Callithrix jacchus: one gene and its partner. The protein of the gene in region 1 interacts with the protein of each later gene in a biochemical or structural test. Links are inferred from orthologs where the notes say so. Each region holds a gene or a part of one and is shown on either strand. Other genes may lie near its edges.

Evidence for each region. The genes of interacting proteins can lie anywhere in the genome.
Region 2: the proteins of SNTB2 (region 1) and PTPRN form a complex in vitro, tested with the Homo sapiens proteins (2 studies listed by BioGRID and IntAct). The link is inferred for Callithrix jacchus from reciprocal best matches to the Homo sapiens genes SNTB2 and PTPRN.

The regions. Positions count from the first base shown.
Region 1 is NC_133521.1:26,738,212-26,742,184, reverse strand, and holds the start of SNTB2 (beta-2-syntrophin), read right to left. Parts: upstream 2,838-3,973; 5' UTR 2,821-2,837; coding exon 2,241-2,820; intron 1-2,240. UniProt on the Homo sapiens protein: Adapter protein that binds to and probably organizes the subcellular localization of a variety of membrane proteins. May link various receptors to the actin cytoskeleton and the dystrophin glycoprotein complex.
Region 2 is NC_133507.1:141,052,023-141,056,051, reverse strand, and holds the start of PTPRN (receptor-type tyrosine-protein phosphatase-like N), read left to right. Parts: upstream 1-1,229; 5' UTR 1,230-1,289; coding exon 1,290-1,404; intron 1,405-2,806; coding exon 2,807-2,857; intron 2,858-3,090; coding exon 3,091-3,204; intron 3,205-4,029. UniProt on the Homo sapiens protein: Plays a role in vesicle-mediated secretory processes. Required for normal accumulation of secretory vesicles in hippocampus, pituitary and pancreatic islets.

The DNA.
Region 1 (3,973 bases):
GTTTTTTGTTTGTTTTTGAGATGTAGTCTTGCTCTGTCACCCAGGCTGGAGTGCAGTGGTGCTATCTCAGCTCACTGCAACCTCCGCCTTCCGGGTTCAAACAATTCTCCTGTCTCGGCCTCCCTAGTAGCTGGAATTACAGGCGTGCACCACCACCCACAGCTAATTTTTGAATTTTTAGTAGAGAGGAGGTTTTGCTGGGTTCTCCTAACCTCAGGTGATCCACCCGCCTTGGCCTCCCAAAGTGCTGGGATTATAGGCATAAGCCACCTCGCCTGGCCAAAAAGTGTTGTTTTTAAAAAATATGGTGTAAAGGGTTCAACTGAGGACTACATAAATAGTACTAAATTCAATATTCTGGATATAAGAATTTATAACCAAATGCTTAGCTAGACCAATTTCAAGGCACACATTTAAAATAACAATTTTTTTTTTTTTTTTTGAGACGGAGTTTTGCTCCTTACCCAGGCTGGAGTGCAATGGTGCGATCTCAGCTCACCACAACCTCCACCTCCTGGGTTCAAGCAATTCTCCTGCCTCAGCCTCCTGAGTAGCTGGGATTACAGGCATGTGCCACCATGCCCAGCTAATTTTTTGTATTTTTAGTAGAGACGGGGTTTCACCATGTTGACCAGGATGGCCTCGATCTCTTGACCTCGTGATCCACCCGCCTCGACCTCGCAAAGTGCTGGGATTACAGGCTTGAGCCACCGCGCACGGCCAAAATAACAATTTTTTTAGACACACCCAAACCACAATCTATAATTTTACTCCTTCTATTAACACTAAATTTCCGAGCCGTGTCTAGCCCCACCTAGACATCCAAAATAAACAAGGTTTACAAATAGGATATTATAAAGGTGGGACACGAATTTCACAACTGGTGTACATGAAATCATTTCTGATAAACCAGTATTTTTCCAAATATTCACAAGCTGATTTATAAGAAACTGAAAATTATTGTGCCAAGTTGGACTTCTGGCCTCTCGGTTTGATGATTGGTCCTTCCCTTCTGTCTTCCTCTGCCAGGAATACTCTCCTGACTCATCCCTGCCTGCCTATGTCCATCACTTCCTTGGAGAACTGGCTCAGGGAAAAAGTCCTGCCTGCCTAATTCCATCTCTACTAACTACTTTCTAACTTTGCATTCCCTTGGGACTTAAATACAGTTTGCACGACATAATCACCAACTTCATCCCTTTCCTTCCTATAAGTTGTTTTGCATTTTTCTATCATTTCTCCAATAAGAGACCAAGAAGGGACAGCATCTTCTTTCATATTCTTTTCAACACAGCTAGCAATAATCACCAGTGAAAGAAAGCTGACCTCTCAAAAATTGCTAAAGAAAGCAACTGACTTTTCGTTTACAGTTTACTCTATCACCTCCAATATGCATGAGTCCTTAAAGGAGAGGAATTTTATTTTTGCCTTACTTCAAATTCATCATAAAAGATCCAACTTACAAATCACATATATAACTTAATGTAAAGAATAATCCTGGTTATTGAAAGTTATCTTGTGATTTACCATTTCAAGTTTCTTACAAAAGCCGTAATAGTCTTGAAGCAGCGCGCCTGTGAGTGGAAGGAAGCTGGCAGCAGACTCTTGCAAAAGGGGCAAAACTCTAGTTGGCAGTAAATGTTCAAACACGTGATCCTCCACTGTTAAGGTTCATTAACCACACAGACTTGCTGTTTCAGCTTTCTGGCTTCAATGAAGTGCTATGATCTCCTTTGGTTATTGTTGAGAGCCAATGATGGGTTAAATTCCCATAAATTAACCAGCGCTTTGGTGGTTTGCCCAAGTATACCGCTGGCATCGGTGTTGGACTTTTTTTAATAGACCTGCCCGCCCCGAAGAGCCAGAGTTGAGTGAGTTAAGCGCCAACCCGGCACTTCTCAGCGGGCAAACGGAGACAGACCCACTCGAGCCGTTCGCTCTCCCTCTAGTTCTTAGTGTCAGCTTATCCGGCCGAGGGGGAGCTTCATGGGAAGCTGCTTTTTGCCCAATCTCAGCCGAGTCTTCCTTAGGGGCTGCAAGCCACACTTCGGCGGCTGCCCAACTTTTCCTGCAAGAAGCATCCGTTTTTCCACACTCTAAGTTCCAGAAACCCGGGTTTGGGAAGAGACGGGGAGAGAACCGGCTCGCCCCGTCGGCAGGGAAGGAACAAAGTGAGCTCCCGCGAGCCCAAGCCGCCGCGGCCCGCCCACCCTCCCGCCCCGTCGGCCGGCCCCACTCACCCTCCAGCAGCACCTCCTTGCCCGCGCGCTTCAGCGCCTGCACGGCCTGGTCGTGGGTGGCCTGGCGCAGGTCGGTGCCGTTCACCGACAGGATGGCGTCGCCCAGCCGCAGCGCCCGGCTCTGGTCGGCGGCCAGCCCCGGGAAGATCTTGGAGATGAGGATCGGCATCCGGTTCTCGCGGCCGCCCTTGATGCTGATGCCCAGGCCGCCCGCCTCTTGCTTCACCACCCGCACACGGCGCACGGGCGGCGACGCGCCCGCCTCACCCGCGGGGCCCCGAGGCGGCGCCGGTGGGCTCGGGGGCCCCAGGCCGCGGCTCGGGCTCCCAGGCAGCGAGTCGCCGGCGCCGCCGCCGTTCGGAAGGCCGTTGAAGGCGGCCGCCGCGGGTCCCAGAGCGGGCTCCAGCTCGGCCGCGGCGCCGTCGCCAGTCAGGCTCAGGCTCTCCCCGCTCAGTTCCGCCACCACTCGGACCCAGCGCTCCCTCAGGAGTAGCTCCACCAGCCCAGCTTTGGTGGCCCGCGTCCACACCGCCATGGCCGGCCCCTCTCCAGCCGCCGCAGTCGCCACAGCTACCCTCATTCCAGTCAGGCAGCCTCAGCGCTTCCCCCTTCCCGCCCGGAGGGGCGGGCCCGGCCCTTCCCCGGCGCGATTCATTATTCATGATGCCACGCCCACCTCCCGAGGGGCGGGGCCGGCGCAGCCGCTTCCGGGAGGTGCAGAAGCTGTCGGATCCCTCGCTTGTCGCCGGACGCGGGCAGCCCGAGTGCGGTGGGACTGCATTTCTCATCCTCCTTCCATTGGCTCCCCACGGACCCGCAGAAACTATTGACCTCTACCGTGCAATTCACGGAAGCTGCCTGGGCACGAAAAGCAAAATCAGCTTGGAGAAGCACTTTGCAAGCATGCAAGACCCGGTGGCACGTTCATTCTTGCACTGATTGGTTCGCACCCTGTGTACTGAGCGCTCAACCAGGGACTCCGGCTCCTTCTGAGGCCCTGTAGATAAGCGCAGTAGTACCAGCAACAGCTGAGAGTCTGCGGTCTAGTGGGGAAGGAAAATACAGAACCAACCAACTAGGTGTGATAATACGTGGTTAAATGACATACAGAAAATGTCCCCAGAACAGTATAAAAGGAACATTTGGGCTGGGCGCGGTGGCTCAAGCCTGTAATCCCAGCACTTTGGGAGGCCGAGGCGGGTGGATCACGAGGTCGAGAGATCGAGACCATCCTGGTCAACATGGTGAAACCCCGTCTCTACTAAAAATACAAAAAATTAGCTGGGCATGGTGGCGAGTGCCTGTAATCCCAGCTACTCAGGAGGCTGAGGCGGAAAAATTGCTTGAACCCAGGAGGTGGAGGTTGCGATGAGCCAAGATGGCACCACTGCACTCCAGCCTGGGCAACAAGAATGAAACTGAAAAAAAAAAAAAAAGAAAGGGAAGAAAGTCTGAGAAGGGGCCTGATAGAGGAGGCTCATGCCTGTAATCCCAGCACTTTGGGAGGCTGAGGCAGGTGGATCACTTGAGGTCAGGAGTTTGAGAGTAGCATGGCCAACGTGGTGAAAACTCCATCTCTACTAAAAATAAAAACATTAGCTGGGTGTGGTGGCAGGCCCTTGTAATTTCAGCTCCTAGGGAGGCTGAGGCAGGAGAATTGCTTGAATCCAGGAGATGGAGGTTGCAGTGAGCCAAGATCACGCCAGTGTACTCCAGCCTGGGTGAAAAAGTGA
Region 2 (4,029 bases), on another chromosome or scaffold:
GGGAGAGAGTAAGGAGATCAAATTTGAACTTAAGAAGCTCACTCCCCCACTTATTGAGTGACAAGAGTGGAAGCAAAAGACCAGTTAGCTGATTGTTGCAGTGATTGTGATGAAGAAGCACAGTGTTTTAGTTCAGGTAGTGAGGACGGGCAGAAGTGGACTGATGGAAGATGTATTTTGCAGGCAGAAACCGTAATATGATGGACAGGCTCAAGGTGGCCCAGGAAGAAAGGAGAGTCAAAGCTAATAAGGAGGCCAGGCATGGTGGTTCACGCCTGTAATCCCAGCACTTTAGAAGCCTGAGGCAGTTGGATCGCCTGAGGTCAGGAGTTCAAGACCAGCCTGGCCATCATGGTGAAAGCCCGTCTCTACTAAAAATACAAAAATTAGCTGGGCAAGGTGCCGTATGCCTGTAATCCCAGCTACTAGGGAGGCTGAGGCAGAAGAATGGCTTGAACCCAGGAGGCAGAGGTTGTAGTGAGCCAAGGTCATGCCACTGCACTCCACCCTGGGAGACAGAGCAAGACTCCATCCAAAGTAAGTAAGTAAATAAATAAATAAATACTAATGACAAAAGCTAATATGTATACAGCATGTAGTATGCACCAGTCCAGGCACGTAACTGACAAAATCTTCACAACCATCCTGTGAGGCAGGTACTATTGGCACTGTCTGAGGCAGGCACCTCCCCTTTGCAGATCAGGAAACTTGGAGGCAGACAAGTTAAACAACCTGCCCAAGACCATACCCTTAGTAGGTGCCCTGCTAGAACTGGAATCCAGGCACAAACGTCTGTCCATTTCTTCTTAAGGAAGACACTAGTACCATCAATGACAATGAGTAAGAGTACTTATTCTACCCACTTTCTGCTTCTCCTCTTCGGGTTTATCATTCTGGACTCACCTCCCTTTCCTGGCCCCCACCCAACTCGAGCATTTTCGCCCACGTAGAGGTCGTGGTCCTAGAAGAGGGCTACAGGTCAAAAAGGGGTGGGGCCGAGTGGGAATTCTAGCGAGGAGCCTAGTATTTGACGGAGGAGGGATGGGCTGGGTAGGTCCCCCGCTCCGACAGGGCTCTTACGCCATATGTGACGCAAATTAGCTTACGAGCCGGGGGTGGAGGTGTCGTCAGCATCCGCCTGCGTTTGGCAGAGTTGCAGCAAGGGGGGCATGTAGACCCCGCCTCATAGCGGGGTGGGTAGCGGCAGGCTCCGCCTCGGCCCCTCCTTCAGGCTCCCGCCAGCGTCGCTGCGGCTCCGGCCCGGGAGCGAGCGCCCGGAGCTCGGAAGGATGCGGCGCCCGCGGCGGCCTGGGGGTCTCGGGGGATCCGGTGGTCTCCGGCTGCTCCTCTGCCTCCTGCTCCTGAGCAGCCGCCCGGGGGGCTGCAGCGCCATTAGTGCCCACGGTCAGGAGGAAACTTGGGCTGGCTGGTGGGGGGGGGGTGGGGTGGGCAGCTTGGGGCCAGGAGGGAAACTGGGTGGTGGTGGGGGTGAAGTGTCAGAAAGCTTAGGGAGAATATGGGTTGGGGGAGTCAGGCGACAGAGGAGGGTGAGAGGGCGTCTGGGAGGAAAGGGGCGTAGGCCTGGAGGTGGGGCTGGGAATACGGGGGCGGGACCTAAGAGAATTGGGCTCCGGGGAAGACTGCAGGTTCGGGAGGACACGGGGTGCTTGTGGACAGAGGGACTTAGAGACCGACTGCGAGACCCCAGGAGAAGCCAGTTGCGCCGAGGCGCCAGGGGAGTAGTGACAGGCACTGAATGGGAGGGGGCGGGGATGTGGCGGAGAGGGTGAGGGAACGGCGATCCCTGGGCAGTGGAAGCCTGGGCCGCAGGCATAAGGTCCTAGCTGGGCCGAGAGAGAGGCCAGGGTTTCTCCGTAAGCCTAGAGAGGCCGATTGCAGCGATGTGATCTCCCGTAACAGGGAACAGCACGGGGAGGGGGCAGAAGAGGATAAAGAGGGGAGGGTCCTCTCCTGTCCCCCTCCCCACAGCCGGGCCTGGTGCTGACTCACATCTGTGCGGACAGAGACAGTCAGCGCTGACTCACGGGCGGAGGGTGGGGGTAGGAGGGTGGTGCGTGGGGGAAGGGGCGCAGCCTCGCCGCCTGGCGCCCTCTTTCCCCAGCCGGGCTTGGAGGCCCGAGAGACAGAGTACTTCCTGTGACGCTGTGGGTTGGCAGAATAGAACGGAGGGCTCAGGTCTTGCGGAGAGTCCTCGTTCTGTGACCCCTTCCTCTCTGGTAACCGCCTCCAGGCGAGCCCCTGGCGGCGCCAGACTCAGAACTTCAGCACCGCGGACAGCGCCAGCGGCCCGGGACAGCGCCGGGAGAGCTGCCTTAGAGACCCCCTCCCATACCCGCTTTCCCCCGACCGGGCGAAGTGTGCTAGGGTTTCCACCTCTTCTGGGTTCCAGGCTATTATAGGATGCTTTTGGATATTTGGGGATGAAATTCCCCTTTCTCTCAAAATTTGGCCAAAATTTCTCCTACAGTAATTCTATGAGGACAGACAAGTATGTTATTCTCCACCACTTCTTTCTCCCTGCACCTGGAAGGTTTCTTCCCTATCACTCAGTTAAGTAAACAGACGCTTTTAAGGATCCAGACTCACAAATTCTTCAAATCCAAAACTAGATCCCATGCTTCCTTTTAAGAATTTTAGGCCTGATTTTTACTCTCCTCCCAGCTTAAGGCCTTCTTTAGAATGAAAGAATAAACTGCATCTGCTTCCCCCTTTCCCAGCCTGTCCACCCATCTGCCCATTCTCTGTGTGTGGGTGTCTGAGCCTCTGCTCACCTGTTCCTCTACAGGCTGTCTATTTGACCACAGGCTCTGCTCTCACCTCGAAGTCTGTATTCAGGGTGAGTGAGGCCCAAGTGTAGAACTGACAAGATGGGGGGAAGATGGGCAATAAAAAGCAGGAAAGGGAGAGAAGGCCAGAAAGGAAGAGGGCTACTGGGCTTGAGAAGAAGGAGGACTTGCCTGGAGGAGGAGAGGTAGGGGAGGAGGTGAAGAGAATACTGTTCATTTGCAACCTGGACTTCAAAAGGCCTCTTGTTCAAGCCTCCTGCTGACACCACTTTTGTGCCCTTAGATGGCTTGTTTGGACAGTGCCAGGTGGGAGTGGGGCAGGCCCGGCCCCTTTTGCAAGTCACTTCCCCAGTTCTCCAACGCTTACAAAGTGTGCTCCGACAACTCATGTCCCAAGGTGAGGTCTGGGTGTGTTGGAGGAGAGAGATTGGAACTTGGTTAGTTATGGGTGGGGAAGAGCATTTCTCTTCAAGGAACATTTTTAACACACCCACTGCTGGAGCCTCATCTTCCCAGATCTTGCTGGAGTGAGAAGTGGAACCCTAGAGATCAGCTATTCACATTTAGACTCTCTGGAGAAGCCCAGAGGAGGCTTCTAGAAGAAGCCAGTGGAAGGCCAGCTTCCTTAGGACCAGTTCCTCTCCCTGGCACTGAGTGCTACAGAGACAAGAACACTGTATTCCTCAGCCAGGATAATATTCCACTCACCCAATTCCTCATTCAACAAGTATTTATTGAGTACTAACTATGTAGCAGGCATAATTTTAGGTATTTGGCATGTATCAGGGAATAAAACAAAGATCTCTGCTTGCTAGAGTTATATTTGGGGGATAAGGGGAGGAAACACACTATAAAAGGTAGAAAATATATAGTGTCTTAGAAGATGATAAATGGCATGGAATATTACAGCATGATAAAGGGATCAAAATGGTGAGGTAGAAAGCTACAGTGTTAAGTCAGGTGGTCAGGTGGAACTTATTGAGACTGAAATTTGAACAGACTTTTTAAGGAGGTGGGGGAGTTTGTCAGGTTATCTAGGGGAAGAGTATTTCAGGCAGACCAAACAGCTAGGGCAAAAGCACAAGTCTGAAGAACACATAGAGGCCAGGAGACTGAAGAGGATTATGGAGAAGAGCAGAAAGTGCAGTCAGGTAGGTGAAGGGTAGGGGAATGTGTGGACATTGGCTTTACTCTGAGTAAAGAAGGAAACCATTACAAGATT